2 linked regions of the Bombyx mori genome follow. The protein of the gene in region 2 interacts with the protein of the main gene of each other region in a biochemical or structural test. Links are inferred from orthologs where the notes say so. Each region holds a gene or a part of one and is shown on either strand. Other genes may lie near its edges. The genes, in order: U2 small nuclear ribonucleoprotein auxiliary factor 2 and transcription elongation regulator 1.

Region 1 (16,718 bases), on a different chromosome or scaffold from region 2:
CTGAAGAAAAAAATTCAAACAAAACTTTCACCAGTTTCACCCTAACTCAAATATATTAAGTGTATAATCTATGACCCTAACGTACGACATCACAATTCATCACATCACTTAGCTTAGCAGTCTTAGCCATAGAGTTACTATTCTAACTGGAGTGCTTACTTCGTTTGACATAAAAACTAAAAATATACTTTATCTCTATGGCTTAAAGTTTATTTTTAAATAGCAAAAGATGTAAGGAAAAACGGTCTGAAAAGAGAATGATTATTAAGTGGTGGTGTCCCTCTCGCACATTTTACAAACAAAAAGCAGTGTTGCTAGCTTAGAGGATTTTCCATAAATTCTCGGAATTTGGACCCCCTTCTTAGTTATCAAAAATGGCTTTTAGTGGTTAGTGGATTTTTTAGTAGCTTGGGTGTTGTTGAAAATTATCGAAAAGGTTAAAATCAATCCACTTTACAGGATTTTAAACATTTTATGACAATAATATATCTAAATACATATTATTTAAACGATGTGACTTAAACTTAACTAGAAAATGTTGCGAGAATTTAGAATTTCCATCAACGTCAAAAATTAAATTGGTTCAAAATAAACGTACAAAGTTATGGTGAAATTAGATTCTGATGATGACAATTTATTAAAATAAATTATATAAGAAGTATTGATTATATGATATGTATATTGATTTTTAATAGAACATCATATATTAATAAAGCTTATTAAATAAAAAAAATTTGTTCTATATTAATAAGAACTCTGTTTAATGGAAAATTTAATGGTAGGTACGTAGATTTCTGATGGTTTTCATGTTGAATTTGGTGGGAAGCCAGATTAATTGTTGGCATCACCGAAAAAGAGCTATGAATGGATTAAAAGAAAAATGGCGTCTCTTTACGTTTGTAGTGCGAAGTTAAAATGGCACTGATACAGCTTGTGGCTTGTTTTTTTTCGAAAATCGTGAAAGTTTCCGTGTAATCATGGTGAACACTTTTAATGTAAGTGGTTTTAAGCGAGAAGTTTGTGGAATATCCTTCCATATGTCAGATTCATTGATAAATTTTTACTAGTGTGAGCATATATTTTTAAAATGTGAGATATTTTTTCTCATTATAATATTTAATACCATTTGTCTTGTAAACTGTACTTAATCTATGTCATATACTAAATTTGAAAAAACAATCGTGAAAACTATAATTTTGCAATGTCTTTTTCATATTATAAGAGCCATCACGTGGTATTTTTTGAACTTTTTTTATTGTATTGAATAGCGTCGCACGCAAACATGTATATCATTTGCCTGACGTTAAGCGAACGAGTAGGATCTTCTAGTAAATATGACGTTGGAATTTCTGGAAATTTTCCTATATAAAGGTCAAACAAGAAGAATCAAGTACTCAAACGCAAGAAATAAAAAATACCCCGAGAAAAGCAAAATTACGACAAGATGTTAAGGTATTGAAACAAAAACTTAAAAGTCGCGAAATAGTGATTGTAAATATAAAGTCGATTTTAGATTTATTAAAGAAAAATGGCGATTTTTAATTGAATTGAAATTTAAATTGCGAAATTTTAATGATACTCATGGTCCACTTAGATATTGATTAAAATAAAATATGTATTTCGTTGAAAAAAAAGAATTTACTTAAAATAGAGGAAATGTTATATTATAAGACTACAGAAAATTAACTGAACTTAATAATAATAATATGTATAACCAACATTTTGTAAATAGAGATCAAGTACTATGTGTATCGTGTTATGTGTATTGACTTGTCATTTAAGAGTTATTTAATTGTCTACATATAACAAATAAATGAATTTCAGTTCATTTCATTTTATTACCCATTGTGTTTTATTTCCTAAAATGTAACTAGTAGACTTAATATACACGTGTCATGAAAATAGCACAGAAGTAAAAATACAAGCAATTTTAAATCAATTGAAGATGTGAATGTAGGAAAAGAGCACCCGATACGCGCAGACCATGTGTGTTGCAGTGTCTCACTCAGTGTGTCAAATATTAATTTGCACGGCCCACTTAGCCAGTACATTAAAGTAGGAATTGCGTCATTAAGTTCAACATAATATATTATTTAAGTCGCGGTTGAGTATTCGGACGTTAAACATGAGTTTGAGGAAGTTTAAGTAATAGAACTGAGGTAATGATGTTTGTAATAATGTAATAAATGTAATAAAACTCAGTGCTAGATTTTCGACAACGCAGCAATTTCCAAAAAAAAACCGTCGAAAAAAAGTCACCATGACGACGAAGCAATGTTTAGAATTGAATTTACATAAATAAAAGGTTGCAAGCACGTGTTTTGTATTTACATAGGGTTACACAGAATTACTTAAGGTAAATTCAAAACTGATGCATGTGTATAATTTTGTCCTATAATTAAATTATATATGGTCACCACATTAGACAAGGACACCGCGACCAAAAAGTATTCTCTTTCGAGACCGATTTCTCGGCATTAGACAGCACTCCAGTTGTAGGTACTTATTAACTCCATGGTCTTAGCACATTCAAACAAATAAAATTTCAAAGTCAATTATGATTGGTTGAGTAATGAGTGGCAGGCAGCTTCGTTTTTGTTTTTAGAATTTGTTTACGGCCACTGATTACAGAATGTTTTAGCCCAGATGAGTTAGTTTTCCAAGATTGTTGAGATTAACAATAGAATTACCAGATTTACAAATAGATAACAATAGATTAACAATAGATAACTATATAATTTTTAAAAACACGCAGAAAAACATTCCTGTATTTTTTTTCGTTTCATCTAGTATATTATATATATGTATACCATAAGAATATACCATCCTGCCTATTTCTACCACAAAACATTCAGTTAATGTTTGTGCTTCTGCAATTTACAAAATTCCATTGGTGTACTTGTTAGAGTTTTGGCTTATTGCAACCCAAAGTTAAAATAATTTATTGTGGGAACCGGTTAATGAATTGTTTCATTTGCATACCTATGACAGTTTTATTGTCATTGAGCCTTAGATTCTGGTCAAACCATCGCTCAAATACCACAAGGGCTTGTTGAGTTTGATCCAACAGCCTATTCAGAAATTTTACCACAATGTAAACTCCCAGATTGTCAGCATAGCTTACAGTAGAAATACACTTAGTTATGTTCCCAAAGCAGGATATTTTATAAACTGTTCAAGAGGCCATAAGATATGGTAGCATTGACTTGGTTTGGGCAGTTTTCTGTTTATGAAGTCTCCGCATGCTTTAATGTGAAACATCTTTATATAATACCCGCACATAAAACCGATTGCTAGTGTGACATAGATGTGATAGTATAATAAAATATTATTTAAACCTACAGTCTATATGTAGTAGTGTTTAAGGTGTAGCAACACGTCGCCATGGACAAGCGACTGTTTCATAATATTAATATTTGATTTTCATTGCGCCACAAGAATTTCCTGTCGTAAGCTATCCTTTTATGCATCTATACCTGTACAAAATAATATCAATGTTTCACATCTGCCAGCCTTGCCACTATACCTCTTTTCTCATGTCACAGTATACTTTTAGAAATACTTAGTATTACGGTTTTACATAACAATAAAACCGATATTATGTGCCGAGAAGGAAAACATACAGCATTGTATTATGAAGAAGCAGTGTGTACTTAGCTTAGATTCCTTGTCTATGTCCAACCATAGACAGTCAATTTAGTTCCATCTTTAGCCGCTAGGTGCTGCCAGCAAGTATAAAGGGAGCGCAGCCATCTTTGATCTTCATAGTCTTCACCAGGAAGAACTTCCTGCAATGCTGTATGTTTTCCTTCTCGGCACATAATATCGGTTTTATTGTTATGTAAAACCGTAATATTGATGTGCCTTTGGAAAACATACAGCATTGTATTATGAAGACGTGTTTGTTATCTGCTGGTGAAATTATTAAGCACAACGCTATGATGAAATAGGTAAAGCCATAATAAAATTATGAAGCGCAATGATAATGTTCATAATTTATATAATTATTAAATCGAAAAAACAGTTGTTAACTTCCATGTTAATTCAATAATTAAAAAATATTTATAAGTTTAAACATTTTATCTTTTATATACAAGAAAATGTATAAATTGTATAAATGATGTATATACATCATGTAGAAGTAAATGTGTTGAAAAAAAGAATCGTGAGGATTTTTACGAAGCTCTATTATTCGGCAATATTTATTGTAAACGTTTGGATGATTTGCAATTGCCTCTAGAAAGTATTTCGTCCATTGGTTCATTATCAATCCATCTCAGAGGCTACTGCTGATCTACAACTTCTTAGAGATGCGTTGATGCCATTACCTCGTAAGGTTGAACGAAGACCAGTTTCCAATTACAGTACGGGATGCCGCTTTTGTGACAACACACATAGTTAGAAAAAAGTCCTTACGAATCTTACCGGGCATGTCTTTAGTTTCATGTTTAGAAAGCACTTATGCAGATTATTGACGAAAATGGATTTCAATTTTAGACCCAAAGACTGGTATCAGAAAGATGTTTTTCTCTGTTATCAAAGAAACTGTCTTTAGAAATGTTGAGCAAAGTAAGGTCATTAACTCTGCGTCCCGTAGCCAGCAACATGGTTGTTGGTGTCCTTCAAGCTACATTGAGGCGTGATGTGGTGGCTGGGTTTGAAGAAAACCAGTTTAGAACTATTCTCGGATCTCATGTGAATGGGACTACACTTAGTAAAATTGTAATAAGTAGTTGAATTTTGTTTAGCCATTCCGATGGCTTTTTTAAAATAGCAATTTTTATTAGAGAGCTTGAGAATGTTTGGTGTCCTACATGTATTTCGCCCACAGAAAGTCGACAGCGCTGCTTTATGATGCAGAAGGATTGTTTTATAGGCAAAATTTTCTTTTTGGAAAAGAAGAAAGAATTTGGCAACATCTGCAGACTTAGGATCAATTTTAAAACTGTAGCACCATATGCACCATCTTCTAGTTGCTGGTAAGTATGCTGACAAAGTGGATTGACACCAGCTAATTTTCAATAAATCTTCTCCTGTTTAGACCAGTATTATTTGTACAACCTCCCCCCCCCCCCCCTTTCTAAGCTTTCAGGGTTAATGTTTAACCTGTGGAGGAGGCAGGTTTTGGATTTCGTGCGAGTTATCTAGCGTTCGGGATCTGAGGGCTTGGAAACCCAAATGCTTTCGTTCAGTCTGGGAACACTACCAGGTAGGTTCCCTAGACACTTGAAGTGAGTCAGTACTTTGGGGAGAAGGTTGAGAGGAGGAATTCTCCATGCTAGTTGCATCCTCTACGGTCTGCTGAAGGTATCCAATCTTGGTCGGCGAATGGGTTTATATCTGGATGACCCCACTTTCGAAAAACTTTTGTGGTCACTTGTGGTAAAAAGTGCCATTTCGCAGGTTGATTTCCTCGTGATAGCCTGTCGGCTATGATGTTGTATCTCCCCGAGAGATTATAAGCTGACAGTTATCTTGAACTTATTGCTTAGGTTTAAAAATCGAAAGGTCAACGTTAGTGAAATACTTTCAAATTCATTTTGATTGTCACTACCATTGCAAATAGCTCTTTTGTGGGTGAGCCGTTTCTGTTGTTGAGCTGACCATAGACAGGACGTTAATATTTTGTCTAACTGTAACCCCTACCCATGTCCGAAGCTTCCGTTGCCAGGAAATGGTTGGTTTTGGGTCTCGGCAATGTTTGACATGTGGCTCCGCGTCAGCACTGCATTTGTAACCCCTACACATGTCCGAAGCTTCCGTTGCCAGGAAATGGTTGGTTTTGTGTATCGGCAATGTCTAACATGTGGCTCCGCGTCAGCACTGCATTTAATTGTTAACACATGCAGGATGGCCTGTTTTTTACCCCTTTTCTTGAAACTTCGCAAGAAAATTTGCAAGTTAACATAGAGTGATGTAATACCGTCAGAGTTTGAGCTAGGATGTTGTTGAGTGGCCACTTCATTTCTCGCAATTTTCCATCGAATCCCCAGACATGTCATCTCTTGAACCAGTGTACTAATTGATTTTTTGTAAGGCTGACTTGGCAGCCCAAATAATCCAAGAGCTTTACAGCCTATGTGGCCTGAAGACTCAACTTGGACTTCTTTTGATGGACCTGGTGGGATTTGCGTAGGTGGGATAACACTCAACATCCCTTTGCACGCAATGTTTCCGCGACCGAGCATGCTATGCAAGCAAAAAAGGTGTATTTGTCTTCATGGACCAAGAAAAAGTCGCGTAGGTAGGTTAACATTTGACTTCCCTATGTACGTAAGGTCTTCGCGACCGAGCATGCTATGGGAGCAAAAACGTTTATTTGTCTTGGTGAAACAAGATCATGTCGTGTAAGTAAGCTAGGTGAAACAAGATCATGTCGTGTAAGTAAGCTAGCACTTCGATTTTGCACGCAATGCCTCCGCGACCGAGCATGCTGTGGAAGCAAAAAGGTGTATTTGTCTTCAAGGACCAAGAGAAAGTCGCGTAGGTACGTTAACATTTGACTTCCCTATGTACGCAAGGTCTCTGCGACCGAGCATGCTATGGGAACAAAAACGTTTATTCGTCTTGGTGAAACAAGATTAAGTCGTGTAGGTAAGCTAGCACTCGACTTCGCACGCAATATCTCCGCGACCGAGCGACCGAGCGACCGAGCACCCTATATAATGGAAATTGACATGCCAGCCCAGATAATCCAAAACCTTCACAGCTTCTGCAGCCTGAAGTTTCAACTTGGATTTGTTTTGGTCGACCAAAAGGAAGTCGTCTAGGTAGGCTAGCACTCGAGTTCCTTTTGCACGCAAGGTCTCTGCGACCCAGCATGTTATGGAAGCAAAAAAGGTTAATCCAAAAGCTTCACAGCTTCTGCAGCCTGAAGTTTCAACTTGGATTTGTCTTGGTCGACCAAAAAGGAAGTCGTCTAGTAGACACTAGCACTCGAGTTCCCTTTGCACGCAAGGTCTCTGCGACCCGCATGTTATAAAAGCAAAAAGGTGTGGCTCTGAAGCCAGACCGAAGGGTAGGCATGTCATTTCATACTAACTCATAAGAAGGTACCGATTCCTTCCTGGAGGTACTGAACTGGTACCTTGGTACTGATCCTCAAGAAGTATCGACGAAATTTTGCGACTGATACTAGAAAAATATTCCTGAGAAATGTTCAATTCTATCATCCAGTCCCCTGGGTGGAGAAAGTTTGGTACCTAGGTGTCCGAAAACAGGTGTTTTATCTTTACGACCTTGTTCAACTCTCGAAGATCGAAAATTGGACGCATTGATCCGTCGCTTTTCTTCCGCAGAAAAAGGTAGTTTTTTTTTTTTTTTTTTTTTTTTTTTTGTTGTTTTTTTTTTTTTTTTTACGGTATTTGGTAACCATACATGGTTTACAAATTATTACAATTTTGGTGGCACTCAGTGCCTCAGTGCCGTCGGTGTCTTCAATTGCCCCCCTCTGGATTGTGCCAGATGTTACGGACTATGATTGTTTATAATGTTTGGCTTACCTTTTGTACGAGATCGTGACAAATAGGATTGTAGCCCTCCGAGGGACTGAATAGATTTCAATTTACTATTATCAAACAAAAATTCCTCAATGAGTGGCGCGTTGGCAACAGGATACTTTGTTAGAGACCACGGAAATTAAACTTTGACGTCTTATTTCTATACATACGGCCCTTTTTTCCGTATACAATTTAAAACGCTTTTTACGGGTAACTTGTACGACGGAGACGATTTGTCAAAGTTTTCAGTAATTATGTTACAAAGATTATTAGTTTAAATCTGTTGTGTTTTTGTCAAAATTTCCGTATTGACGAGATCAATTTGTTTACAACAATTTTCGTTACATTCAATTGTTACACACAGTTGATGCATTATTAGATTTACAACGTCACTGACCTGGTGGGATAACGAGCCGATTCGAAGATCGACCGTTACCTTTGAATCCCGTCGTTTCTTACGCAGAGACTCCTTTTGTTCTTTTTCGCTTGACGAGCTGTTCGAACGCGAGGCGTCTCCATCGCGTCTCGCCTGGACATCTTCCCTCTCGGAAATTATGGAGCTTGACTCAACATCACCTCCAACAGATGACGCGTGATTCATGGCGTCCGATGATAGGATTGGTAAATAATACTCGTAATGATTGCAAAATAACACTCATAGAAACACAAAATAAATATTTTTTGCAATTAATAAGAAGTCGAATAAATATTTGTGGACTTGCGACTTCACAGTACGAAAGTACACAACGCTATGAAGATCAAAGATGGCTGCGCTCCCTTTATACTTGCTGGCAGCACCTAGCGGCTAAAGATGGAACTAAATTGACTGTCTATGGTTGGACATAGACAAGGAATCTAAGCTAAGTACACACTGCTTCTTCATAATACAATGCTGTATGTTTTCCAAAGGCACATCAATGATTAATTAGCTATCATTATTACACATTTATACTTGAGGAAACACCAGTTCTGCGTTCGCGTCCGAAATTTGTCCTAGGGCAAGCATAGGATTTTAGTGATGATTACGTATCAGGAAATTCACTATAGCATCATTAGCCAAAAGTCGAGTAACCAACGTCCGTATAAAAAAATAACAGACGCCATTTCACGGAAACTGACTTAGATTTTATGTTGATGCCAACGCTAATTATACTAATAACGCTGAAGCGCCTTTATTACTATCTCAAGAAATAGTTACTGTATTACATATTTCCGTAAATAAGATGGGGGAAGATAAAGGTAAGTAGTTCACATATCTATCTTGTAAAGTTTTGAAGTGAGGTTATAAAATAAAATGCTCACAAATATTACAGACCGCCGACGAAGGTCTCGATCCCGAGAAAGAAAACGTTCTAGATCTCGATCTAGAGAACGAAGAGAAAAAAGAAAAAGCAGATCAAGATCGCCCAATAAACGTTCACGTAGACGTAAGCCTTCGCTTTACTGGGATGTACCGCCGCCGGGATTCGAGCATATCACGCCATTACAATACAAGGCGATGCAAGCGGCGGGTCAGATTCCTGCCAATATTGTCGCCGACACACCACAAGCTGCCGTGCCGGTGGTGGGTTCGACTATAACACGTCAAGCGCGAAGGTTATATGTCGGCAACATACCCTTTGGCGTCACCGAAGAAGAAACAATGGAGTTTTTCAATCAACAAATGCATCTATCGGGCCTGGCCCAGGCCGCCGGCAACCCTGTTTTGGCTTGCCAGATTAATTTAGATAAAAATTTTGCATTCCTTGAATTCAGATCAATTGATGAAACGACACAGGCAATGGCTTTTGACGGTATTAATTTTAAAGGGCAAAGCTTAAAGATTCGACGTCCACATGACTACCAGCCTATGCCAGGCACTGAAAACCCAGCAATAAATGTGCCTGGTAAGTAATTATGATATTGTGATATTGTTATTACAAACAACTTTTCTTATAAAAATACATTTAAACTACATTAGAAGATACTATAGATTTATCTATCAAGTAATGAGTCTTGAACTCGATTGAAAGTGCTATTTTTTATTAAGAAAATGCAATATTTAAAATAAACTGAATTTTGTTGTTATAATTCTACAGCTCTTTTTAAACTCTTGAAACAGCATTAATTACAACTAAAATACTCATTACTAGTGTCTTCATTCAAATATTATTTTGTTACAGCTGGTGTTATTAGCACTGTTGTACCTGATTCCCCACACAAGATCTTTATAGGGGGATTGCCTAATTATCTAAATGAGGACCAAGTAAGTTCCTTGTTTTATCTATTAAAATTTATAGTTGAAATTAAGCATTCAAGAAACCATAATTTAATCACATCATGATCAAAATCAAGTTTGGAGTTTTTTAAAGCTACACATGGTTTTTGGATTAAAGTAGAGGTACTTATTTTCTGTATTTTTGATGTGATCAAATTAAGCTATTATTTATAAGTACTACTTACCAAAAAGTTTTTATTTTTAAACCAAATGAAAACTCAATTCACATAAATTATGGTTGATTTATGTTTCCCACTAAAAGAAACCTTTTGATAATAAAAAAATGGTTATATTATACAACATTCTTCTCTCATTGTGATTTGTAGAGTTGTGTGTTACAGGTTTTGACCAGACAAAATGGAAATAATAATTATGTTGGTTATGATAAACATAGAATTCTCTTAGATCGACAAATTCAAGTATTTTGGACTATAATAGTTATTTCAAAATCCTACTTTAGGTAATGTTAGGACATTAAAAGAACCATGAGTTTGTTCGTTCCCAGTAGGTAGTTATAGCGTACTAGATGCCGCAACAATTTCAGGCCGAGATTCAACAGTTGACAGGACTTAGGCCCCGGTGACGCCAGCAGTGAGCCGCGTTATGTTTTGGTCCGTTTCAGGTATTTTCAGGTACCCGTAGCGTGGACGAGCGTGTGCGTACCACGCTCGGATGTTCTCAAACAACTCACTGATATAGTTTGCTTTCTGCCCTCCCTAGCTTAGATTTGGCACATTCGCGGCCCGCGTGTCACTGTTGTCTCTCATTCTCATCTATACGTCTTGTACTTGAACGAGACATCGGCACTTCAAGGCAAGTCTCTTCCATTCACATCTGATTCTAACATGCGGCTAGACACAGGTCAGATAGCATAATTCACTTATGTAATTTGCTGCATTTTGATGAACAGATTTAATGGGAACACAACAATTCAAACATACAATACAAAAAACATTAGCATTAGAAATGTCTATGCTGATCATTATGAATATGTAACGTAAATTAATACAATGCTGGGAATTAAAAGATTATTATTTGCTCACTAATTTTGTCATGAAACAGGTAAAGGAATTACTCATGTCATTTGGTCAACTCCGGGCCTTCAATTTGGTGAAAGACTCTTCAACTGGGTTGAGCAAAGGCTATGCTTTTGCTGAATATGTCGACATTTCTATGACAGATCAGGTAAATAATCATTATGTCACCCAATTTATTAATTTATTGGCTTTTGCATAGTTAAGGCCAATTTAATTTTTAAAAAAACTTTAAATCATAAATTAATTTTATTTTCACAGGCTATTGCAGGTTTAAATGGAATGCAACTTGGAGATAAAAAGTTGATTGTGCAACGTGCCAGTATAGGCGCAAAGAATTCAACTTTAGGTAAATTTTAATACAGAATATGACCTATGTTTTAGTTTTAGAATAGAAATTATAAAAGATTTTAAATAGAAATGGGATACTTTTCAGCACTGACCGGTGCAGCTCCAGTGCAAATCCAAGTGGCAGGTTTGACCTTGGCTGGAGCAGGTCCACCTACTGAAGTATTGTGCCTTCTTAACATGGTAACACCTGATGAATTGCGTGATGAAGAGGAGTATGAAGATATCCTTGAAGATATAAAGTAAGTAACATTTTGTACATGTCACACACACAAGCACTAATACATGAAATGCACACTTAAACTTCATCTAAAAATGTTCAAAATCAGAACAAGAATATAAAATTAAATCTTCATATTGGTACCTCAGTTCCAATAAGTAAAGTAACAATTCAGATTTCATATTAGTTTTAGCAGTGTATAAAGCATTTCGTTTTTCATAACACATTATTCTTCATAATGTAATAAAAATAAATAAATAAAATAGAAATAAGAATAACTTCCTGATAAACTATTCACATTTATTTAAGCTTTTTTTTAATTGTTACTGCATGGAACATAAGTACAAGTCATATAAATGAAACAACAAAAATGATTTCTTTCATAGACTTCTTTCTTTTTGAAAATTATAGTTTACAATTTTAATGGAACTCTTTTTTATACTCAATCAATTTTTTTTTAATAAAAAAAACCTTTACCTGTGTACCTTAACAAAAATTCGCGAAGAAATAACATTGAGTAATAAAATCAAACCTGCAAAAATCCCAATTTGTGTGATTACCTGCCTAGGTAGGTCCCACAATACTGTCCATTTCTGCCGTGAAGTAGTAATGCGTTTCGACTTAAAGAATAGGGCAGCCATTGTACTGTAAAAACTGAGACTTAAAACTCATGTCTCAATGGGTGTGGCGGCGTTAACGTTGTTGTTGTCTATGGGCTCCGGTATCCACCTAACGTCAGGTGGGCCGTGGGCTCGTCCACCCATCAAATCAATAACAAAAAAAGAATTAGTAATGTAATTATTACTGTACATTCCTAGCTATAAAAAATGAATATGAGACTCACTAAAAATATGGTATTTCAGGGAGGAATGCAACAAATATGGTGTTGTGCGTAGTATAGAAATTCCAAGACCAATTGAAGGAGTCGAAGTACCTGGATGCGGCAAGGTAAATATTTATATTTAAAATTAATGGTTTGGAAATCATAATTGAGTATGTCTTACTGCTTCTATGTACTTTTAGGTCAAAATAAATTAGTTGTACAAATTGATATAACAAGCTCATCAAAATATTCTCATATTTTTAAACTGAGATAAATAATAAAAATAAAATTATACGAAATAATCGAGTCTATAAATGTAGCTATAAGAAATAATATGAGATGATTTCTACAAAACTCAAATATCATATTATCATAAACATGCCACACTTTAAATTTCTGTCGTGAAGTTTTCATTTAGGAATTAGTAGGAAAGTCGTTAAGTACATACACTAAACAATTGAATGTTATAGATACCTCATATCTCAAGGTAGGTGGTGACATTCACATTGTAATAAACCAACATAAGAGAGGTCCATATATACGACTATGGAATTTATTACTGGTGGTAGGACCTGTTGTGAGTCCGCACGGGTAGGTACCACCACCCCGCCTATTTCTGCCGTGAAGCAGTAATGCGTTTCGGTTTGAAGGGTGGGGCAGCCGTCGTAACTATACTGAGACCTCACAACTTATATCTCAAGGTGGGTGGCGCAATTATTTTGTAGATGTCTATGGGCTCCAGTAACCACTTAACACCAGGTGGGCTGTGAGCTCGTCCAACCATCAAAGCAATAAATAAATAAAAAGACTGGAATAAACGAATAAAATCCACATTTTTTTTGTTAAAAAACGTTTTTTTTATCAGGTATTTGTCGAGTTCAACAGTATTGCAGATTGCCAGAAAGCGCAGCAGACGCTCACAGGACGCAAGTTCAGTAACAGAGTCGTCGTCACATCCTACTTCGATCCTGACAAATATCATCGCAGAGAGTTTTAAAGATATATTTTTTTTACCGTCACTTCAACTTCGTCCTGTTGCACTAGCGTGTAAGAAAATGTTCAACATTGTTTTTGAAAGAAGTTTAATTTTCATTAGTTTACATTAAAAACATATAAGAACAAATTAAATTTAAAAATAAATGCTTGTAACGATTCATTGTAAAAGTGAGTTCTTAACTACCAAATGAACAGATTTAATTGTGATCTACTCAATTACGACTGATAATTAATTTTACAAGTTCTATAAATTGAAAATGTCACGTTTTGTTGAAAATAAAAGTTTTTTTTTTTTCACAAGACCTATACATGACACATGCTAGTAGCACATTCAACAAACGACAGAGATTAAATCTATCAAAATGCATGTGAATTGGAGCATCATGCTTTTCGTCACCAATTCACTACAACTGACATGTTAAGTATTAACTAAAAAGTATATTGCGCGTTTGTAACTGCTATGAATAAATAAATTTATCTCGAATCATGTGTTTTTATTAAAAAGTTTCAAATTCGAATCGTTTTAACGTAGGTACATTATAAAAAAAAAAACTGTAGTTTTATACTTCTTGCTGCATAGCAGGTTGGTAAGTATTCAGTGAACCCGTTTCCGAAGATAGAACGAGTTTCCTCATAACTACATATAAGACGCCACCGATGATCAACATTCCAATTCCAGCCATCAAGCTAATTGCCCACGCGGGAACCGCATTGCCACCTGTAATAAAATAAAATGAATTTTGAGCACGCAAGTTGATTGATTATTTTAATCAACCTACACAACACGCGATCTCTATAAAAATAAAATAAATTAAAATATAAGAAATTTGTGAATTTATTTTCATGTTAGCGCCCTATAGTTTGATACGAAGTCAAGACGAAAATGTTTTGTGACTACTACTGACCAATCGAAATTAATATGTGAATGGCAAATGTTATCATCTCATACATTTTGACCTAGAAATGACTAGCAGATGAGAAAGGATGTTCTATAGTGGATCGCAAGATGAACTTACTTGATATAAGTTGACCCATGTTTTGAATAAAACGCATAGTATGTTTTGTTGGTTTCTTTGTATAGCAAAAAGAAGCCATCTAGTTAACTTTTCGCTAGTCGTGTTCCTTATTTGCTCAAGACACTGACAAAGTGAAAAGCGCCTGGTGCTTTGCACTTTTTGAGTTCATCAAACGCAGCTCACACTTCGGTCTTCGGAGCGCAAACTCCCCGGGTATTCAAAACAGCATTTGTATTTGTATTTTTCGCAATAGCTACGCTATCTTTCAGCGACCTCTATAACTGATTAGGTGTATACCATCGGCATCATCGATTGCCCAGTTTTTTGGCTTGATAATTACTGAAGATAAGACTTTCTATTCGTCTCGATAGGCACGAGCTAACCGGATCACCTCCTCAGATCAGTTACTGAGTGGTGACTTGATATTGCCTTAAGATATGAGGTTGAAATTTATTGTAGAACGACTGTTCCGTCAAAACCGGACTGATATAATTGCCTCTCGGAAATAATAGCTAGGTACCTCATAACTAGGTAGGTACCTTAGTAGCACTTACCGTGCAGGTTCGCAGAAACGTCCTACTATCAGAAGATACGGTAACTTACGGAATTTAACGAATTTATCTGATTTCCGGCAAGGATATTGAAGATAAACTTACGGTAGTAAGTGCGGGTCATAACACGTCTTCCTCTAAGAATTTTTCTTCTGGCTTCTACCTCTTGTGTAAGTGTACTCAAAATAACTAAAAATAATAAAAAATAATTTATTATTGCACATATTGGCAAGGCAAACATACCCTTTTGTTAAATTCTTAACTTTTGTTTTTTTCCGCTAAAACTATTAATAATAAAATTCGCCAATACACTCGCGACCAAAATGCCCCGGTCATCATTCTCATCGAACCCGTCGCTTGCGACGAAGGGCTCGGCGAGTAAATTAACCCACTGAGTTTCTCGCCGGATCTTCTTAGTGGGTCGCGTTTCCGATCTAGTGGTAGATTCTGCGAAGCACAGCTCTTGCTAGGGTTTGTATTAGCAACATCGTCCGGTTCGAGCCCCGTGAGCTCACCTACTAGTTCAGGCTACGCTGATATGGTCTCTCTAAACCATCAGCTTAGGTAGGAGAAAAAAATAGAAAACCAAAATGGTCACCTACAAGTTTCCGTTTTTCTTGAATCATCTAGGTACCTACTTAATTTCAAGTGTGTGATGTTCACGATTAGCCGTTATTTGTAAAGTACCCCGTACCTTTAATGTCATTCATTCAGACTGACGATTAAATTAAAATCAATGCGCTTTATCAGACTGATAGTCATAACCCCCAACAAACTAAAGGTTGGTACATTTCTTCTTCCCAAACATATCTATCTATCTATGTGTGTCTATACGTAAATTATCAAACTACTTAAGTACATTACCTTCATAAGTCTTGATTTTAGTACCTACCTTTTTCCTTATCTATTAAGTAGGTTACTGGCAGTATAAACAACACAGTACCTACTTGATACGTGTATATTATAGTGATGCAAAAGTAACATTTGCTATTACTCTTTTAAGTCACCTGGCGTCAAAGCTAAGATATTTAATTGGGTGTTGAGTACACATATAACATTAGGGAAAGAGCTCCTTTCAAACTCTTAAAAGTTAAAAAATACAATGCAGTAATGTTCCCTCCGCAACACATTTCACTTTAGGTCCTTAACTACAACAAATTTTACTCTAGATACGTACCTAAAATCACAGCGAAGTAAAACAAAACAGATTTCTTCTGTGCCATTTTATTGATTTTTTTTCTTTCACAAATACTCAATAGAGAAACACAATCACTAACAACACCTATGATAAACTAATACAGAAAAACATGTACATTTTTAGCGTTGAGCTATTATCTCTTTAGATAAGATAACTTGGTTACTCACATTTGTGAGATAAAACGAAGCTTTCTGAAATCCTGTGTGACTCAATTATTCTGTATATTCATTGATAGAATACTACAGTGATAAAATAAATATAATAAAACCTTTAAAATGATCGTATTTGATACATGAATCCAAAAAACTTTTACTTGTCCATACTGTTAGATTTAGACCTAGGTATACTTACTAAAATAGCAAAGAAAATCAAAAGTGAACAATACGTAAAGAATTCGTCATAGCCGCCCGATTAACTTATTCGTATCAAACGATACCACCATACCGGTGTTCAAATCCCACAGGCAAATGTTAATTTATCTAAGGAAATACATAGCACGTGTTCAAGAACGACTACAACGATGAAGGAATAATATTGTGCAATAAAAAACAACCCAACAAAAAATTCAGTTTGCGTAGCAACTGGTAGTAAGGTGTCTCGTGTCCCGTTCGGGTAGGTTCCACCGCCCTACTTATTTTTACCGAAGCAGTAATGCGTTCGGGTTTGAAAGGTAGGTCTAGTCTATAGTCGGTATGCCGTCATATAACTTATAATTGAGACTTCTTCTTTATATTACAGGATGGATTCATTTGATTGATATCTATGGGTGTCGAGAA
Region 2 (16,220 bases):
AGCTTGTGTGTCTGTTAGCTGCAGTCAGTGGGAGAGTGAGTGAGGAGGGAGGAACAGATATGTGGAGAGGGGTGTAGCTTGTGTGTCTGTTAGCTGCAGTCAGTGGGAGAGTGAGTGAGGGGGGAGGAACAGATATGTGGAGAGGGGTGTAGCTTGTGTGTCTGTTAGCTGCAGTCAGTGGGAGAGTGAGTGAGGGGGGAGGAACAGATATGTGGAGGGGTGTAGCTTGTGTGTCTGTTAGCTGCAGTCAGTGGGAGAGTGAGTGAGGGGGGAGGAACAGATATGTGGAGGGGTGTAGCTTGTGTGTCTGTTAGCTGCAGTCAGTGGGAGAGTGAGTGAGGAGGGAGGAACAGATATGTGGAGAGGGGTGTAGCTTGTGTGTCTGTTAGCTGCAGTCAGTGGGAGAGTGAGTGAGGAGGGAGGAACAGATATGTGGAGAGGGGTGTAGCTTGTGTGTCTGTTAGCTGCAGTCAGTGGGAGAGTGAGTGAGGAGGGAGGAACAGATATGTGGAGAGGGGTGTAGCTTGTGTGTCTGTTAGCTGCAGTCAGTGGGAGAGTGAGTGAGGAGGGAGGAACAGATATGTGGAGAGGGGTGTAGCTTGTGTGTCTGTTAGCTGCAGTCAGTGGGAGAGTGAGTGAGGGGGGAGGAACAGATATGTGGAGAGGGGTGTAGCTTGTGTGTCTGTTAGCTGCAGTCAGTGGGAGAGTGAGTGAGGGGGGAGGAACAGATATGTGGAGAGGGGTGTAGCTTGTGTGTCTGTTAGCTGCAGTCAGTGGGAGAGTGAGTGAGGAGGGAGGAACAGATATGTGGAGAGGGGTGTAGCTTGTGTGTCTGTTAGCTGCAGTCAGTGGGAGAGTGAGTGAGGGGGGAGGAACAGATATGTGGAGGGGTGTAGCTTGTGTGTCTGTTAGCTGCAGTCAGTGGGAGAGTGAGTGAGGAGGGAGGAACAGATATGTGGAGAGGGGTGTAGCTTGTGTGTGTGTTAGCTGCAGTCAGTGGGAGAGTGAGTGAGGGGGGAGGAACAGATATGTGGAGAGGGGTGTAGCTTGTGTGTCTGTTAGCTGCAGTCAGTGGGAGAGTGAGTGAGGGGGGAGGAACAGATATGTGGAGAGGGGTGTAGCTTGTGTGTCTGTTAGCTGCAGTCAGTGGGAGAGTGAGTGAGGGGGGAGGAACAGATATGTGGAGAGGGGTGTAGCTTGTGTGTCTGTTAGCTGCAGTCAGTGGGAGAGTGAGTGAGGGGGGAGGAACAGATATGTGGAGAGGGGTGTAGCTTGTGTGTCTGTTAGCTGCAGTCAGTGGGAGAGTGAGTGAGGGGGGAGGAACAGATATGTGGAGGGGTGTAGCTTGTGTGTCTGTTAGCTGCAGTCAGTGGGAGAGTGAGTGAGGAGGGAGGAACAGATATGTGGAGAGGGGTGTAGCTTGTGTGTCTGTTAGCTGCAGTCAGTGGGAGAGTGAGTGAGGGGGGAGGAACAGATATGTGGAGAGGGGTGTAGCTTGTGTGTCTGTTAGCTGCAGTCAGTGGGAGAGTGAGTGAGGGGGGAGGAACAGATATGTGGAGAGGGGTGTAGCTTGTGTGTCTGTTAGCTGCAGTCAGTGGGAGAGTGAGTGAGGGGGGAGGAACAGATATGTGGAGAGGGGTGTAGCTTGTGTGTCTGTTAGCTGCAGTCAGTGGGAGAGTGAGTGAGGGGGGAGGAACAGATATGTGGAGGGGTGTAGCTTGTGTGTCTGTTAGCTGCAGTCAGTGGGAGAGTGAGTGAGGAGGGAGGAACAGATATGTGGAGAGGGGTGTAGCTTGTGTGTCTGTTAGCTGCAGTCAGTGGGAGAGTGAGTGAGGGGGGAGGAACAGATATGTGGAGAGGGGTGTAGCTTGTGTGTCTGTTAGCTGCAGTCAGTGGGAGAGTGAGTGAGGGGGGAGGAACAGATATGTGGAGAGGGGTGTAGCTTGTGTGTCTGTTAGCTGCAGTCAGTGGGAGAGTGAGTGAGGGGGGAGGAACAGATATGTGGAGGGGTGTAGCTTGTGTGTCTGTTAGCTGCAGTCAGTGGGAGAGTGAGTGAGGAGGGAGGAACAGATATGTGGAGGGGTGTAGCTTGTGTGTCTGTTAGCTGCAGTCAGTGGGAGAGTGAGTGAGGAGGGAGGAACAGATATGTGGAGAGGGGTGTAGCTTGTGTGTGTGTTAGCTGCAGTCAGTGGGAGAGTGAGTGAGGGGGGAGGAACAGATATGTGGAGAGGGGTGTAGCTTGTGTGTCTGTTAGCTGCAGTCAGTGGGAGAGTGAGTGAGGAGGGAGGAACAGATATGTGGAGAGGGGTGTAGCTTGTGTGTCTGTTAGCTGCAGTCAGTGGGAGAGTGAGTGAGGAGGGAGGAACAGATATGTGGAGAGGGGTGTAGCTTGTGTGTCTGTTAGCTGCAGTCAGTGGGAGAGTGAGTGAGGAGGGAGGAACAGATATGTGGAGAGGGGTGTAGCTTGTGTGTCTGTTAGCTGCAGTCAGTGGGAGAGTGAGTGAGGGGGGAGGAACAGATATGTGGAGAGGGGTGTAGCTTGTGTGTCTGTTAGCTGCAGTCAGTGGGAGAGTGAGTGAGGGGGGAGGAACAGATATGTGGAGAGGGGTGTAGCTTGTGTGTCTGTTAGCTGCAGTCAGTGGGAGAGTGAGTGAGGAGGGAGGAACAGATATGTGGAGAGGGGTGTAGCTTGTGTGTCTGTTAGCTGCAGTCAGTGGGAGAGTGAGTGAGGGGGGAGGAACAGATATGTGGAGGGGTGTAGCTTGTGTGTCTGTTAGCTGCAGTCAGTGGGAGAGTGAGTGAGGAGGGAGGAACAGATATGTGGAGAGGGGTGTAGCTTGTGTGTGTGTTAGCTGCAGTCAGTGGGAGAGTGAGTGAGGGGGGAGGAACAGATATGTGGAGAGGGGTGTAGCTTGTGTGTCTGTTAGCTGCAGTCAGTGGGAGAGTGAGTGAGGGGGGAGGAACAGATATGTGGAGAGGGGTGTAGCTTGTGTGTCTGTTAGCTGCAGTCAGTGGGAGAGTGAGTGAGGGGGGAGGAACAGATATGTGGAGAGGGGTGTAGCTTGTGTGTCTGTTAGCTGCAGTCAGTGGGAGAGTGAGTGAGGGGGGAGGAACAGATATGTGGAGAGGGGTGTAGCTTGTGTGTCTGTTAGCTGCAGTCAGTGGGAGAGTGAGTGAGGGGGGAGGAACAGATATGTGGAGGGGTGTAGCTTGTGTGTCTGTTAGCTGCAGTCAGTGGGAGAGTGAGTGAGGAGGGAGGAACAGATATGTGGAGAGGGGTGTAGCTTGTGTGTCTGTTAGCTGCAGTCAGTGGGAGAGTGAGTGAGGGGGGAGGAACAGATATGTGGAGAGGGGTGTAGCTTGTGTGTCTGTTAGCTGCAGTCAGTGGGAGAGTGAGTGAGGGGGGAGGAACAGATATGTGGAGAGGGGTGTAGCTTGTGTGTCTGTTAGCTGCAGTCAGTGGGAGAGTGAGTGAGGGGGGAGGAACAGATATGTGGAGAGGGGTGTAGCTTGTGTGTCTGTTAGCTGCAGTCAGTGGGAGAGTGAGTGAGGGGGGAGGAACAGATATGTGGAGGGGTGTAGCTTGTGTGTCTGTTAGCTGCAGTCAGTGGGAGAGTGAGTGAGGAGGGAGGAACAGATATGTGGAGAGGGGTGTAGCTTGTGTGTCTGTTAGCTGCAGTCAGTGGGAGAGTGAGTGAGGGGGGAGGAACAGATATGTGGAGAGGGGTGTAGCTTGTGTGTCTGTTAGCTGCAGTCAGTGGGAGAGTGAGTGAGGGGGGAGGAACAGATATGTGGAGAGGGGTGTAGCTTGTGTGTCTGTTAGCTGCAGTCAGTGGGAGAGTGAGTGAGGGGGGAGGAACAGATATGTGGAGGGGTGTAGCTTGTGTGTCTGTTAGCTGCAGTCAGTGGGAGAGTGAGTGAGGAGGGAGGAACAGATATGTGGAGAGGGGTGTAGCTTGTGTGTCTGTTAGCTGCAGTCAGTGGGAGAGTGAGTGAGGGGGGAGGAACAGATATGTGGAGAGGGGTGTAGCTTGTGTGTCTGTTAGCTGCAGTCAGTGGGAGAGTGAGTGAGGGGGGAGGAACAGATATGTGGAGGGGTGTAGCTTGTGTGTCTGTTAGCTGCAGTCAGTGGGAGAGTGAGTGAGGGGGGAGGAACAGATATGTGGAGGGGTGTAGCTTGTGTGTCTGTTAGCTGCAGTCAGTGGGAGAGTGAGTGAGGAGGGAGGAACAGATATGTGGAGAGGGGTGTAGCTTGTGTGTCTGTTAGCTGCAGTCAGTGGGAGAGTGAGTGAGGGGGGAGGAACAGATATGTGGAGAGGGGTGTAGCTTGTGTGTCTGTTAGCTGCAGTCAGTGGGAGAGTGAGTGAGGGGGGAGGAACAGATATGTGGAGAGGGGTGTAGCTTGTGTGTCTGTTAGCTGCAGTCAGTGGGAGAGTGAGTGAGGGGGGAGGAACAGATATGTGGAGGGGTGTAGCTTGTGTGTCTGTTAGCTGCAGTCAGTGGGAGAGTGAGTGAGGAGGGAGGAACAGATATGTGGAGAGGGGTGTAGCTTGTGTGTCTGTTAGCTGCAGTCAGTGGGAGAGTGAGTGAGGGGGGAGGAACAGATATGTGGAGAGGGGTGTAGCTTGTGTGTCTGTTAGCTGCAGTCAGTGGGAGAGTGAGTGAGGGGGGAGGAACAGATATGTGGAGGGGTGTAGCTTGTGTGTCTGTTAGCTGCAGTCAGTGGGAGAGTGAGTGAGGAGGGAGGAACAGATATGTGGAGAGGGGTGTAGCTTGTGTGTCTGTTAGCTGCAGTCAGTGGGAGAGTGAGTGAGGGGGGAGGAACAGATATGTGGAGAGGGGTGTAGCTTGTGTGTCTGTTAGCTGCAGTCAGTGGGAGAGTGAGTGAGGGGGGAGGAACAGATATGTGGAGAGGGGTGTAGCTTGTGTGTCTGTTAGCTGCAGTCAGTGGGAGAGTGAGTGAGGGGGGAGGAACAGATATGTGGAGAGGGGTGTAGCTTGTGTGTCTGTTAGCTGCAGTCAGTGGGAGAGTGAGTGAGGGGGGAGGAACAGATATGTGGAGGGGTGTAGCTTGTGCGTCTGTTAGCTGCAGTGAACTAAAGTGCGAGTGTGGCGGTTGTATGGACACTTTGCCTACTCACCCACTATTTTGCTGGGATCTATTTCTATATTAGGATATTTCTCGCCCTTCTCGGCGGCTATCAAGGATTTTATATCTGCAGACAAATTAACGAATTTATGTTATTCACAAAAGCAACGTATTGCACAACCAAACCAAAAGCCTTCAAATTAAATATCCAAGAAACTGTGACGACGGATGTACAGAAAGCGGGCGGCCGCCAGTGGCATTGCAGTATGTGAACGCGTGTTGGGTACATAGCTACTTCAGTAATGAGCGCTCATTAAAAAATATTTTTATAGACTAAATTAAGAAACCAATTTTAAAAATTTCTTAAATGTTCAGTGTATTTTTGTTTTTTTAATAGTGGAGATAAAATTTAGTCACTTGGTATGGGGATGTCATCATAAAGAAAGAGAAGTCGGTGCCTCAATAAGTTAACCCGTGGCATGGTGCCCCTTGCAATGTCACCTGTTTATTTTATAAATTATTTTGTACAGCCCAAGTACTATCCCTCTGTAAGGCTGCTCAGATTTCGAAATGTTGCATACCGCATTAAGTGCTCAAATGGGGACTAACTTCACGCTTTGAGATTAAAAAACTTTTCGTTTTCATTCAAAGCAATAAACATGATGACAAGAAATACGACACCGGGTATCCCATAGAGGGTAGATCAAGCCGAAAACTGTAGCTAGTGTTCTACTATTAATGTTAATACTACTAATAATGTATTTGCCGGAAAAATGAGTTCAAGTAAATGGTTCCGGAACAGAGAGCACTTGAACATAACAAACAACTATTGCTCCATAGAACCTTGAATTATGTTATCACAAGGTACCGTAAAGTCAAATATAAGGCTGGCAACAAAACAGTAAAAAATGCAACTATTTTTATTGCTTTGATCGAGCATAGGCGGTAGGCAGCGGCTTGGCTCTGCCCCTGGCATTGCTGAAGTTCATGGGCGACGGTAACCATTCACCATCAGGTGGGCCGTATGCTCGTCTGCCTACAAAGGCAATAAAAAAAAATATAGCTCACATAGTATTGAGTGGTTATCGAACCCCATAGACGACAACATAAATGCCTTCGCCCAACTTGAGACATGAATTCTAAGCCACAGTAGTACAACGGTTGCCCCACTCTTCAAACGAAAAGCATTATTGCTTCACGACAGAAATAACAGAGTAGCGGTACCTGCCCGTGTGGGTTCACACCAGGAAGTAACCGTATATGTATATATTGATCATACGAATTGAGTGCACACACTGAATATGCGGTTCTTTGACAAATGGGATTCCTGTGGTATCGCTTGCATTGAGCTCTCACGGCACGTGATGAACAATCTATATCTTCTAGGTCGACGTTACATAAGTGATAATTACTTTTCATCTAACAAAGATTTATATCTGTCAACAAAGTCCGCACACAAACAAGTGACGTTCTCTTGTTAGTCCGCACGGGTTCTATTTCTGCCGTGAAGCAGTAATGCGTTTCAGTTTGAAGGGTGGGGCAGCCGTTGTAACTGGAGACCCTTAGAACTTATCAAGGTGGGTGGCGCATTTACGTTATAAATGTCTATGGGCTCCAGTAACCACTTAACACCAGGTGAGCTGTGAGCTCGTCTATCCATTAAAGCAACAAAAATAAAAGCGTGAACTACTGTTCCCTAAACGAGTAGCACGTCGCGTACCGTCGAGTTCCTTGAGCACTGCGGGCTTCTCCCAGACGCTCTCCTGCTTGCTGGCGTTGTAGTAGTAGGGGCGGCCGTCCGGCGCCTTGTGGCTCGTCCACTCCGCCGCCAGCTCCAGCAGCTTGGGCGAGATCACCTGCAAGCCACAAGCATCGTTAGCTCACGAACGCTAACGGTTCGAGGGCGACTTCCAGTGAAGGAATAACATCGTGTAATAAAAATCAAACCCGCAAAATTATAATTTGCATAATCACTGGTGGTAAAACCTCTTGTGAGTCCGCATCCGTACCACCGGTACACATCGGTACCACCACCCCGCCTATTTCTGTCTGCCGTGAAGCAGTAATGCGTTTCGGTTTGAAGGGCGGGGCAGCCTTCGTAACTCTACTGAGACCTTAGAGCTTATATCTCAAGGTGGGTGACGTGGCATTTATGTTACCGATGTCTTTAAGCTTCGGTAACCACTTAACGCCAGGTGAGCTGTGAGCTCGTCCATCCATCAAAGCAATAAAAAAAAAAGACGTAAGTAATGTGTATACGAACGGTTTCCTTCTTGGGCATGGGCACGGTGGGCGGCGCCCGGGGCTGCTCTGCGGGCTCGCACTGCGGCGCGGCGCCGCTGCTAGGCCACGCGCCCGGGGCCGCTTCGGGGTTGCTGGGGTTGTTCACGGCGGGAGGCCAGCCCCAGGCCGGCCAGCCCGGGGGCCCGTATGACTCTCCCTGCTGGTATGCGTTGTAACCTGTGGATACAGTTCAGTTTTATTACAAACTAGCGACCCGCCCTCGCTTCGCTTCGGAAACTGTAATTTATTATTGATATCTCCACTATTTAATGGATGTTATTATACATATAAACCTTCCTCTTCAATCACTCTATCTATTAAAAAAAAACGCATCAAAATCCGTTGCGTAGTTTTAAAGATTTAAAGCATACATAGGTTTTTTTTTTTTATTGCCCTTGTAGGCAGACGAGCATACGGCCCACCTGATGGTGAGTGGTTACCGTCGCCCATGAACTTCAGCAATACCAGGGGAAGAGCCAAGCCGCTTAGAATAGGGACAGAGAAAGCGACTTTGTTTTATACTATGTAGTGATACTCATTTAAAGTCTGGCACAACATGAGCCACCGTATTCATCATAATAGACAGTTCACATTGTCCGTGCACTGTAAGCTACTTTTCCCCAAAATTAAAATACAAATTGACATTCAATACCCCGCACCTAACATACATTCAATGAAAAAAGTAACAAGAATGGATAATTTTATTTATATTTGTGATTGTGATAAAATATATTTAATTGAACAACTAACATTTTGTGTACTGTAGATGTTACCCCGGTAGTGTTTGTGAACAAACTGTGTTACTGGTGGTAGGACCTCTTGTGAGTCCGCACGGGTGGGTACCACCGCCCTGCCTATTTCTGCCCTGAAGCAGTAATGCATTCCGGTTTGAAGGGCGGGGCAGCCGTTGTAACTATAGTTGAGATCTTAGAACTTATATCTCAAGGTGGGTGGCGCATTTACGTTGTAGATGTCCATGGGCTCCAGTAACCACTTTACACCAGGTGGGCTGTGAGCTCGTCCACCTATCTAAGCAATAAAAAATTAAAAAAACATTTTATGAAACAACAAACTATTTTTCACTGCATTTTAAAGATGTGGTTTTTACTTTTTACTCTGTCAGTTATAAAGTCAATCAATAAATACAAAAGTAACAAGTGTGAATTGTACTACGCTGACCATTGGTTTGCTGCTGTCCAGGGACTGCTTCTCCCGGTGGCATTTCATCGTTATCAGTCATACTGCTCACTACAGACTCAGAGGCTTTGTCTTTATCTGAAATTTAATTTAGTATTTTTTATCTATATACATAAAAATGAATTGCTGTTCATTAATTTCACTAAAACTCGAGACTCGGCTGGACAGATTCGGCTAATTTTGATCTTGAATTATTTGTGGAAGTCCAGAGAAGGTTTAAAAGGTAGATAAATATGAGAATGCTCGGAATTAAATAAAAATAACAATTTCGTTTTTCCTTTGATGTGTCCCCTGTCGGACGAATTCCTTTTGTTTGTTTTAAGTTTATTTTATACAAAGATTTAGGTCTTTTATTTCTCGGTTGAGGCACTACAAAGTCTGCCGGGTCAGCTAGTTTATTATATAGATTGGATTACAGACGCAATGTTTGTATTACATACTTATTTCAGTTTTCATGAGTGGCATCTTTAGTAAATAAATATGAACTATGTATAGTATAAGTGTGGTATATTGGAGATGGAAGTCTCTCACCGTCCTTCCCCCAGGGCGGCGGCCCCATGTACTGGTGCTGCGCGCCGGGCAGCATCATGCCGTTGGGCATCACGAGCGGCGCCTGGCCCATGGGACCGTTCATGCCGACCCCTTGTGCCGATATTTGGGGGATTTGTCCTGCAACAACATATCGTTACTGACGCGCACCACGCACACCCGATCGCTTATGGAAATCAGCAACACCAAAGGCACAACAAAGATAGGACCTCTTGTGAGTCGGCACGAGTAGGTACCACCACCCCGCCTGCTTTTGCAGTGAAGCAGTAATGCGTTTCGGTTTCAAGGGTAGGGCAGCCGTTGTAACTATACTGAGGCATTAGAACTCATATCTCAAGGTGGGTGGCAGCATTTACATTGTAGATGTTTATGGCCTCCGGTAACCACTTAACACCAGGTGGGCTGTGAGCTCGACCACCCATTTGTGATAAAAAAAAAAACAAAGTTGAATAGTATAGTATGGTGGCTGCAATCCGTAGAACTGGGACAGTGGGGAAACATGGGTGTGCTTACTGCCCATAACACAGCGGAAAATAGAATCACTTAAGACTGTTAAATTTTTCTTAAAAATTTTTTTTTAGACGTTTTGTGAAAGTAGTATTGTATTGCCTTTGTAGACAATCAAGTATAATAATATACAATACATAAAGACATTCTGATGGTGAAGGGTCACCACAAAAAATTTACTATCCAAAATACCGTTTGTTTTATTACCAGTTTAAAATATTTTTGGTCAGTCAATAATTTTATTTAAACAGTCCAATAATAATTTATCTTCTATGGGTTGGTGCCACCTCAGCATTTAGACAGATAATGTTTTCTATACTGAATTTTACAAGGCAGGATCAATACAGAAATAATCAATATCACAACAATTGAGCTCCTCAGCCATCGCATACTCCAAGTGATTCGTTGACTCCATGATGCTTTATTCACACAGAGTGGACTGTGAGCTTGACTAATTTTTAATGAAATAAAATTAAATCTGCTGTATCTGCACCTTATTTTCTTATTTATTTATTTTTTGTTACTCTTGTAGGCAGACGAGCGTACGGCCCACCTGATGGTGAGTGGTTACCGTTGCGCATGGACTTCAGCAATGCCAGGGGCAGAGCCAAACCTCTGCCTAACTGAACCTTCTCCCCCAGTTCATCCTGATGAGCCAATCAAGTCTACAATTCTTAGGGAATGTCATTGTCGGACAACTGGCTGCTCATAAAACAATAAGCCAATCAAAACTGGATCATTGATACAAGCTGCATTCTCCAATATTTTATTGAGGCACCTAGGGGGATAACAGGCAAGAGAAGGTTGTAACAGGCTACCGACCTGAAGCTACCAGTATCTCCATCTCACCGTGTGTGATGACCTTGCAGTTCGGTCCCTCCACTGGCCTGGTCCATGTAGTTTCCCGGGACCGAGCATGGTAATAGTATGATTTGCCTTCATCTGTCTTCGTTTCCACCCATACTTCAGGGTTCTGCAAATAAACACAAAATACATTTGTAAGGGATGGAATTACAATTCTCCAATTACATGATCATCCTACTTTTCAAATTAGAACACTGATTCTAACAAAGTAGAAGTGGCCGTCCACACAGTTCACTTCAATTAAACTAACTACTAGTTCAACTATCATCACCTACAATTGCAATCCATATGGGCATATCTATATCTATACTAACATATAAATCTACAGTGGTTTTTACGGATATTCAATTATAACTACTGAACCATGCATCCGATTAACTTGAAACTTGGTATCCATGTATTAAATACATGCACTTAATAGATAGGCTAATATTTATATGAGTGTTGGACTCCCTACACCAATTACGGGGGCGTTAATGATGAGCTTCTTTTTGCAGGTGAGAAATAATAATGTTAATTTTAAATGCCCAGTGAATCAGACCGATACAGTTAGTCCTTCATAAACATTGAACTCTGATGTTCAGTTGTAGACAAAAGAGTCACATAGCAGATGCTTCCAATGTGCGGGGTGCACTCTTCATTATATCCATCATTAAAATAGTAGTTCTAAATGTAGTACATATTTTTAGTGATTTTGTTTAAAAGTATTGATTAGATATTGTTTTCCAATCAGGTCTCTTTCAATGGTTTATGTTGTGTATCACATATTCAACACAATCAAAGAATACTTATAAAGCAGAAAATAATATCTTTGATATCGACTTACCATACCAGGGGGCGGCATACCAGGTGGTCCTCCATATGGGGGCTGATTCATCATATTAGGAGGGGGACCCATCGGCCCCCCGGGAGGCATCATGCCGGGAGGGGGGCCGAAGGGCGGCGGACACATCATGTTGGGAGGCGGGGGACCCATCGGTCCCCAATTGTTGTCGAAATTCGGTCCATTGGGTCCGAAACGGGGTCCGCCCCGTCCTCTGAAGAAGCCTCGTCCGCGCATTGGAGGTCCTGTGGGTCCGTAGCCGCGTCCACGAAATCGCATAGGCGGCGGCGGACCGTTCATCCAACCAGGCGGGGGGCCGCGACCACGGCTTCTATAACAATGGCATGTTAACAATAAACTGAAACGACAACCGCAACATTTGGAAACCCTATTCGGCCAACAAGGCCATCATAAACTTTGTCTTTTTCATCTACAATTGTATAATATGTACTCCACAAATGTTCACGATTGACTTCCGCGGTGCAGGAATAACATCGTGCAATAAAAATCAAACCCGCAAAATTTTTATTTGCGTAATTACTGGTGGTAGGACCTCTTGTGAGTCCGCGCGGGTAGGTACCAGCACCCTGCCTATTTCTGCCGTGAAGCAGTAATGCGTTTCGGTTTGCAGGGCGGGGTAGCCGTTGTAACTATACTGAGACCTTGGAACTTATATCTCAAGGTGGGTGGCGCATTTACGTTGTAGATGTCTATGGGCTCCGGTAACCACTTAATACCAGATAGGCTGTGAGCTCGTCCAACATAAAAGCAATAAAAAATTAAAAAAAAAATAAAAATAGTTGTATGCGAGACAACATCCATATGTACTGAACAGAATGAAATTAAGATTAAATCTTTTTACTCATGATATACAGGTATAAAAAATTGTTTGTTTTCTGCAACAATCCTGATAGGTTGATTTTAATGTGCTGGATTAAATGTGCTTCAATGTATTTGTATGGTTGATGTAACAATACTCAAATACAGTAGTAACGATATTGAAAAAGAAAATATCCTAATTTGACCTCCATTTGTTATGTACTTAGGCCAAAGAAGCTCTGTTTTACTTAATTGTTCCTTTATAAGTCAGTAGTGTGACTTTTAAAATGGTGATTTTTTAAATTCATATAATGTGGAGTTATAGTCTGAAGTGAAGCTAAATCCTTGTATCACAAAGGACATTGCAGCATTGACCCAGTATTTTTTATATTTTATTATGTTAGGTCTCACCCATGTATTGGTACTAAGATTCTATTTTCTACAAATTGTTCCAAATTATTATCGGCATCCTGGACAAGCAGACAACCTATGAGATATCATATCAGGTAGACTCTATGTAGCTGATCATCACCCCAAATTACCAAGAAGTAAGTACATGTATAAAGACCTGATCCAGTATATGCAGGCCCCCCTAGCATACATATTGCAATACATAAGCACAGCAAATTGTTTGTCATTATTCAATCCAGTCAATTGAGCTAGTCCATTCGCAATTACATATTACGTCTTGGTGGGAACACACTGCTCAATTGCAAGATTCTTAAAACTTATGTTTGAAGGTGGGTCGGTTACATGTCGCTGCGTCCAGTTCTGTGATAGAATTAAGTATGATATTTAATCACATGAAATTTTCCAATCAAATGATCTTATCTTATCTATGTACTTGAGATCTGAATGCATTACATGCCAATTAAAAAAGTAATTGTATACTATCAATAAATCTTCATTTCAAACATTTACCAAAAGACTTTTTTCTACCTATACTAGTAACCCCGAGGGGTTATACTAGATTCTCCAGGTGAGTAATCCAAAACACACTGCACGTGTATCTTTTTTAAATTCATGTGAATAACATAAACATATTCCTTTAAGGATAATAATGATAATCTTATTCGAAATAATCAAAAAACAGTGGCAGCATGAGTTGAACAAAGGGAACTTTATTTCTAAATCACAAATATGAACATTAACAGAAATATTGGAATACTAGCTGACCCGGCAGATTTCGTAGTGCCTCAATCGATAAATAAGACCTAAACTTTTGTATAAAATAAACTTAAAACAAACAAAAGGAATCCGTCTGACAGGGGACACACCAAAGAAAAAACAAAATTGTCATTTGGAGCATGTTCATATTTATCTATTCTTACATATTTATCCTTTTAAACCTTCTCTGGACTTCCACAAATAATTCAAGACCTAAATTAGCCAAATCGGTCCAGCCATTCTCGAGTTTTAGCGAGACTAACAAACAGCAATTCATTTTTATATATATAGATTAAGATCACTATTAGTTTTTTTTACTTCTCTGACTAGTTTACTTATAGTTTTGTATGGGTAATACTCTATTCACTTCTGCTCAAAAACAGTCATGATTTAAAGAGTGGGACTGTTATTCTCATGTCTCATGAAGACAGCAATGTGTCCATTAATCACTTCATACCAGATAGACTACAAGCTCCTGGCTACATAGGGTGCATCGTATCATCCTTTTCACCCTCTAGCAAAACTTTTATGCTGCACATAATTATCATTAAAGTTTTATAACATCACCATTATTAAAGATGTAAAAAATACCCACCTTCTTCATACATATCAAATTTAATTTTTATTGAAGTCTGAGTTAATAAGAATGTTATACAGCAAGCTGGAAGAGGGTTGCTTCTGCTCTGATAAATAAGTAGTCATCTCTTGAATCAGCATTCATTCACAGTAATTGCTGCATTAAACTATCTTTATTACTATTAATATTATTAATAAATATTTCTAGATTGTACTTAATTTAAATTTCCATTAATGAGTTAGCATTTTATTTGGTTAGTGACAACAATTAGCATTGCAATTTAATTATGCAGTGACAGTTTACACAAACAATGCTATAACATATCGACGCTTGAAAGGCAAACGTGACTAAGCAACAATGCGTGAATTTTACAGTAGACTAATTTAAAGTTGAAATACCTGCAAACAAAATTTATTTTTACGAATCTAGCTGTAGTAGAATCTAGCTAGTAGCTGTAGGACTGAAATGATTTTAATAGACCTAGAAAAATATTTTTTTTGCGCATCGAATATGGTTATTGCCTATCATTTATGTACAAAGCAGTTATTGTCGCTTAGTGACTTTTGCCTTTCAAGCGTCGATATTATATCAAAATTCAGTTTGGTTTGAACACAGGATTGTGGTAAAGGCAAAGATGAGCTTTCATATTTTTAATACTATTTATATTTTTATTGTGTTGATAGGTAGACTCACTCTTTTAGTGACCAGAGCTCTTTCACATCACTATGTGATTGCTTCCACCCACCTTGTTGTGAGTTCAGATTCAATTGAATTGACTCATAACTACTTCTCAGTAGAACTAAGTAGAATGCACATACAGCTATAAAATGCATCCTATATAAGAGCTTAATGCTTGATGAGCTTGCGCTATTGCAATATTTAATTAATATGATAAGGAATAACGTGGATACTCTGTTGAAACTACTAATGATATTCTTTTCAACTTTCCACTGCACTGTATTTTTTGGCAAATTTTGCTAAAAGCTATAAAATCCGCAAAGCAAAGGTACGATTCAACTGGTTTACTCATCAACACGAGATTTTAACTATCAATATTCATTTAACTTCAATTGAGAGCTTTGAATGACAAAATAGCGAAAGCACTTGGTGTTTTGTAAAAAATAAATATAGTTCCATAATTACAGTACTTACTGAATAACTTAAGCTTAAATTTACAAAAAAAAATTCAGTATCCGAAATGTGCATGAGTTCAGGATTGGTCGACATAGGAGATTGCAGTAAACATTATAAAACTTCTATTTATTCGGGATACTGTATTATTTACGCGTCGAGTTGTTTCCAGAACGATTATACATGAATTTTATTAAATGACAATACACGAGCCGACAAAGTCAGAAAACACATGTAAAATAAATGATAAACGTATTTGTAAAGTTTCTCATGCTCTCTTGGGATTCATTTGGGAAATTTGATAGATAAACAAGGACATAGTTTACCGCATTGATAAAGAGTTGTTCAAGTTTTCGGGTACCATTTTATAATAGAGGCAAAAATCGATAATTTTATAACGACAGGTACATATTCGCTGTGTGTTGTTTGTAAGTCATAGTTAGAGGACATTTAACGTAAATTTCTCACCTGAAGCTCCCACGGCCCCGATTACCGCGAAAGTTGTTACCGCCGTCTTCCTCTTCGTAACCTTCTTCATAACCAGTGTATTCGGCGAAGTCCTTCCCAGCCTCTGCTTCGGGTGCGTCGCTTCGGCTAACTTCGTTCAACGACACGTCCTGCTGTTCCATATAACCATCTTCCATTATGTGAGCTATTTATCGTTTTTCACTGAATACTATGTCCACATGCCTAAAACAGTTTATCACTTGAAGTAATACGCACTAGAATTAAGTTCCGCGAGCGCATGAAAATTAAAAGTCAAAACATGGCGCCGTCAAGATGGCCGCCGATGGCTTCACTAGAGCTAGTCTCTATAATCTAAAATCGGTCGTTGGTCAATAGTCGATTCTGAAATAAATTGTTTTCATTTACTGGAGATTGGATACTTTAGGTTGAGCCTTTTATGAAATAAATATTGTTGTAGTTTGAATATGAAAATAATGGCTGGCAACACTTGACACATGTAAGGTTACAGATTTCGAATATTGGAATTATTTTAAATGTTTAAAACAAATAATTGTCTTCTCTTCAGTGAAGACAATGACTTCTCATCTAGACACGGTCAAAGCAACATGTGAGAGTTTTATAAAAATAAAATATTATAATGGAGTAATAGTGTACAAAGAGTTTGCAATATAATTATATTAACCATGAACCAGAGTATTTTTAAATAGCCCCTCACCTACAGAACACAGTCCCCTCAAATTTTACTG

What was found.
Region 1: the proteins of transcription elongation regulator 1 (region 2) and U2 small nuclear ribonucleoprotein auxiliary factor 2 form a complex in vitro, tested with the Homo sapiens proteins (2 studies listed by BioGRID). The link is inferred for Bombyx mori from reciprocal best matches to the Homo sapiens genes TCERG1 and U2AF2.

The regions. Positions count from the first base shown.
Region 1 is NC_085123.1:10,720,374-10,737,091, forward strand, and holds U2 small nuclear ribonucleoprotein auxiliary factor 2, read left to right. Parts: upstream 1-8,597; 5' UTR 8,598-8,722; coding exon 8,723-8,738; intron 8,739-8,812; coding exon 8,813-9,385; intron 9,386-9,661; coding exon 9,662-9,744; intron 9,745-10,818; coding exon 10,819-10,941; intron 10,942-11,051; coding exon 11,052-11,139; intron 11,140-11,226; coding exon 11,227-11,380; intron 11,381-12,221; coding exon 12,222-12,306; intron 12,307-13,046; coding exon 13,047-13,178; 3' UTR 13,179-13,893; exon of another isoform or gene 13,894-13,895; intron 13,896-14,847; 3' UTR 14,848-14,939; intron 14,940-15,921; exon of another isoform or gene 15,922-15,927; 3' UTR 15,928-16,072; downstream 16,073-16,718. UniProt on the Homo sapiens protein: Plays a role in pre-mRNA splicing and 3'-end processing. By recruiting PRPF19 and the PRP19C/Prp19 complex/NTC/Nineteen complex to the RNA polymerase II C-terminal domain (CTD), and thereby pre-mRNA, may couple transcription to splicing.
Region 2 is NC_085130.1:19,196,035-19,212,254, forward strand, and holds the start of transcription elongation regulator 1, read right to left. Parts: upstream 16,158-16,220; 5' UTR 15,651-16,157; coding exon 15,475-15,650; intron 11,644-15,474; coding exon 11,316-11,643; intron 10,599-11,315; coding exon 10,448-10,598; intron 9,239-10,447; coding exon 9,101-9,238; intron 8,648-9,100; coding exon 8,552-8,647; intron 7,550-8,551; coding exon 7,353-7,549; intron 6,946-7,352; coding exon 6,810-6,945; intron 5,217-6,809; coding exon 5,142-5,216; intron 1-5,141. UniProt on the Homo sapiens protein: Transcription factor that binds RNA polymerase II and inhibits the elongation of transcripts from target promoters. Regulates transcription elongation in a TATA box-dependent manner.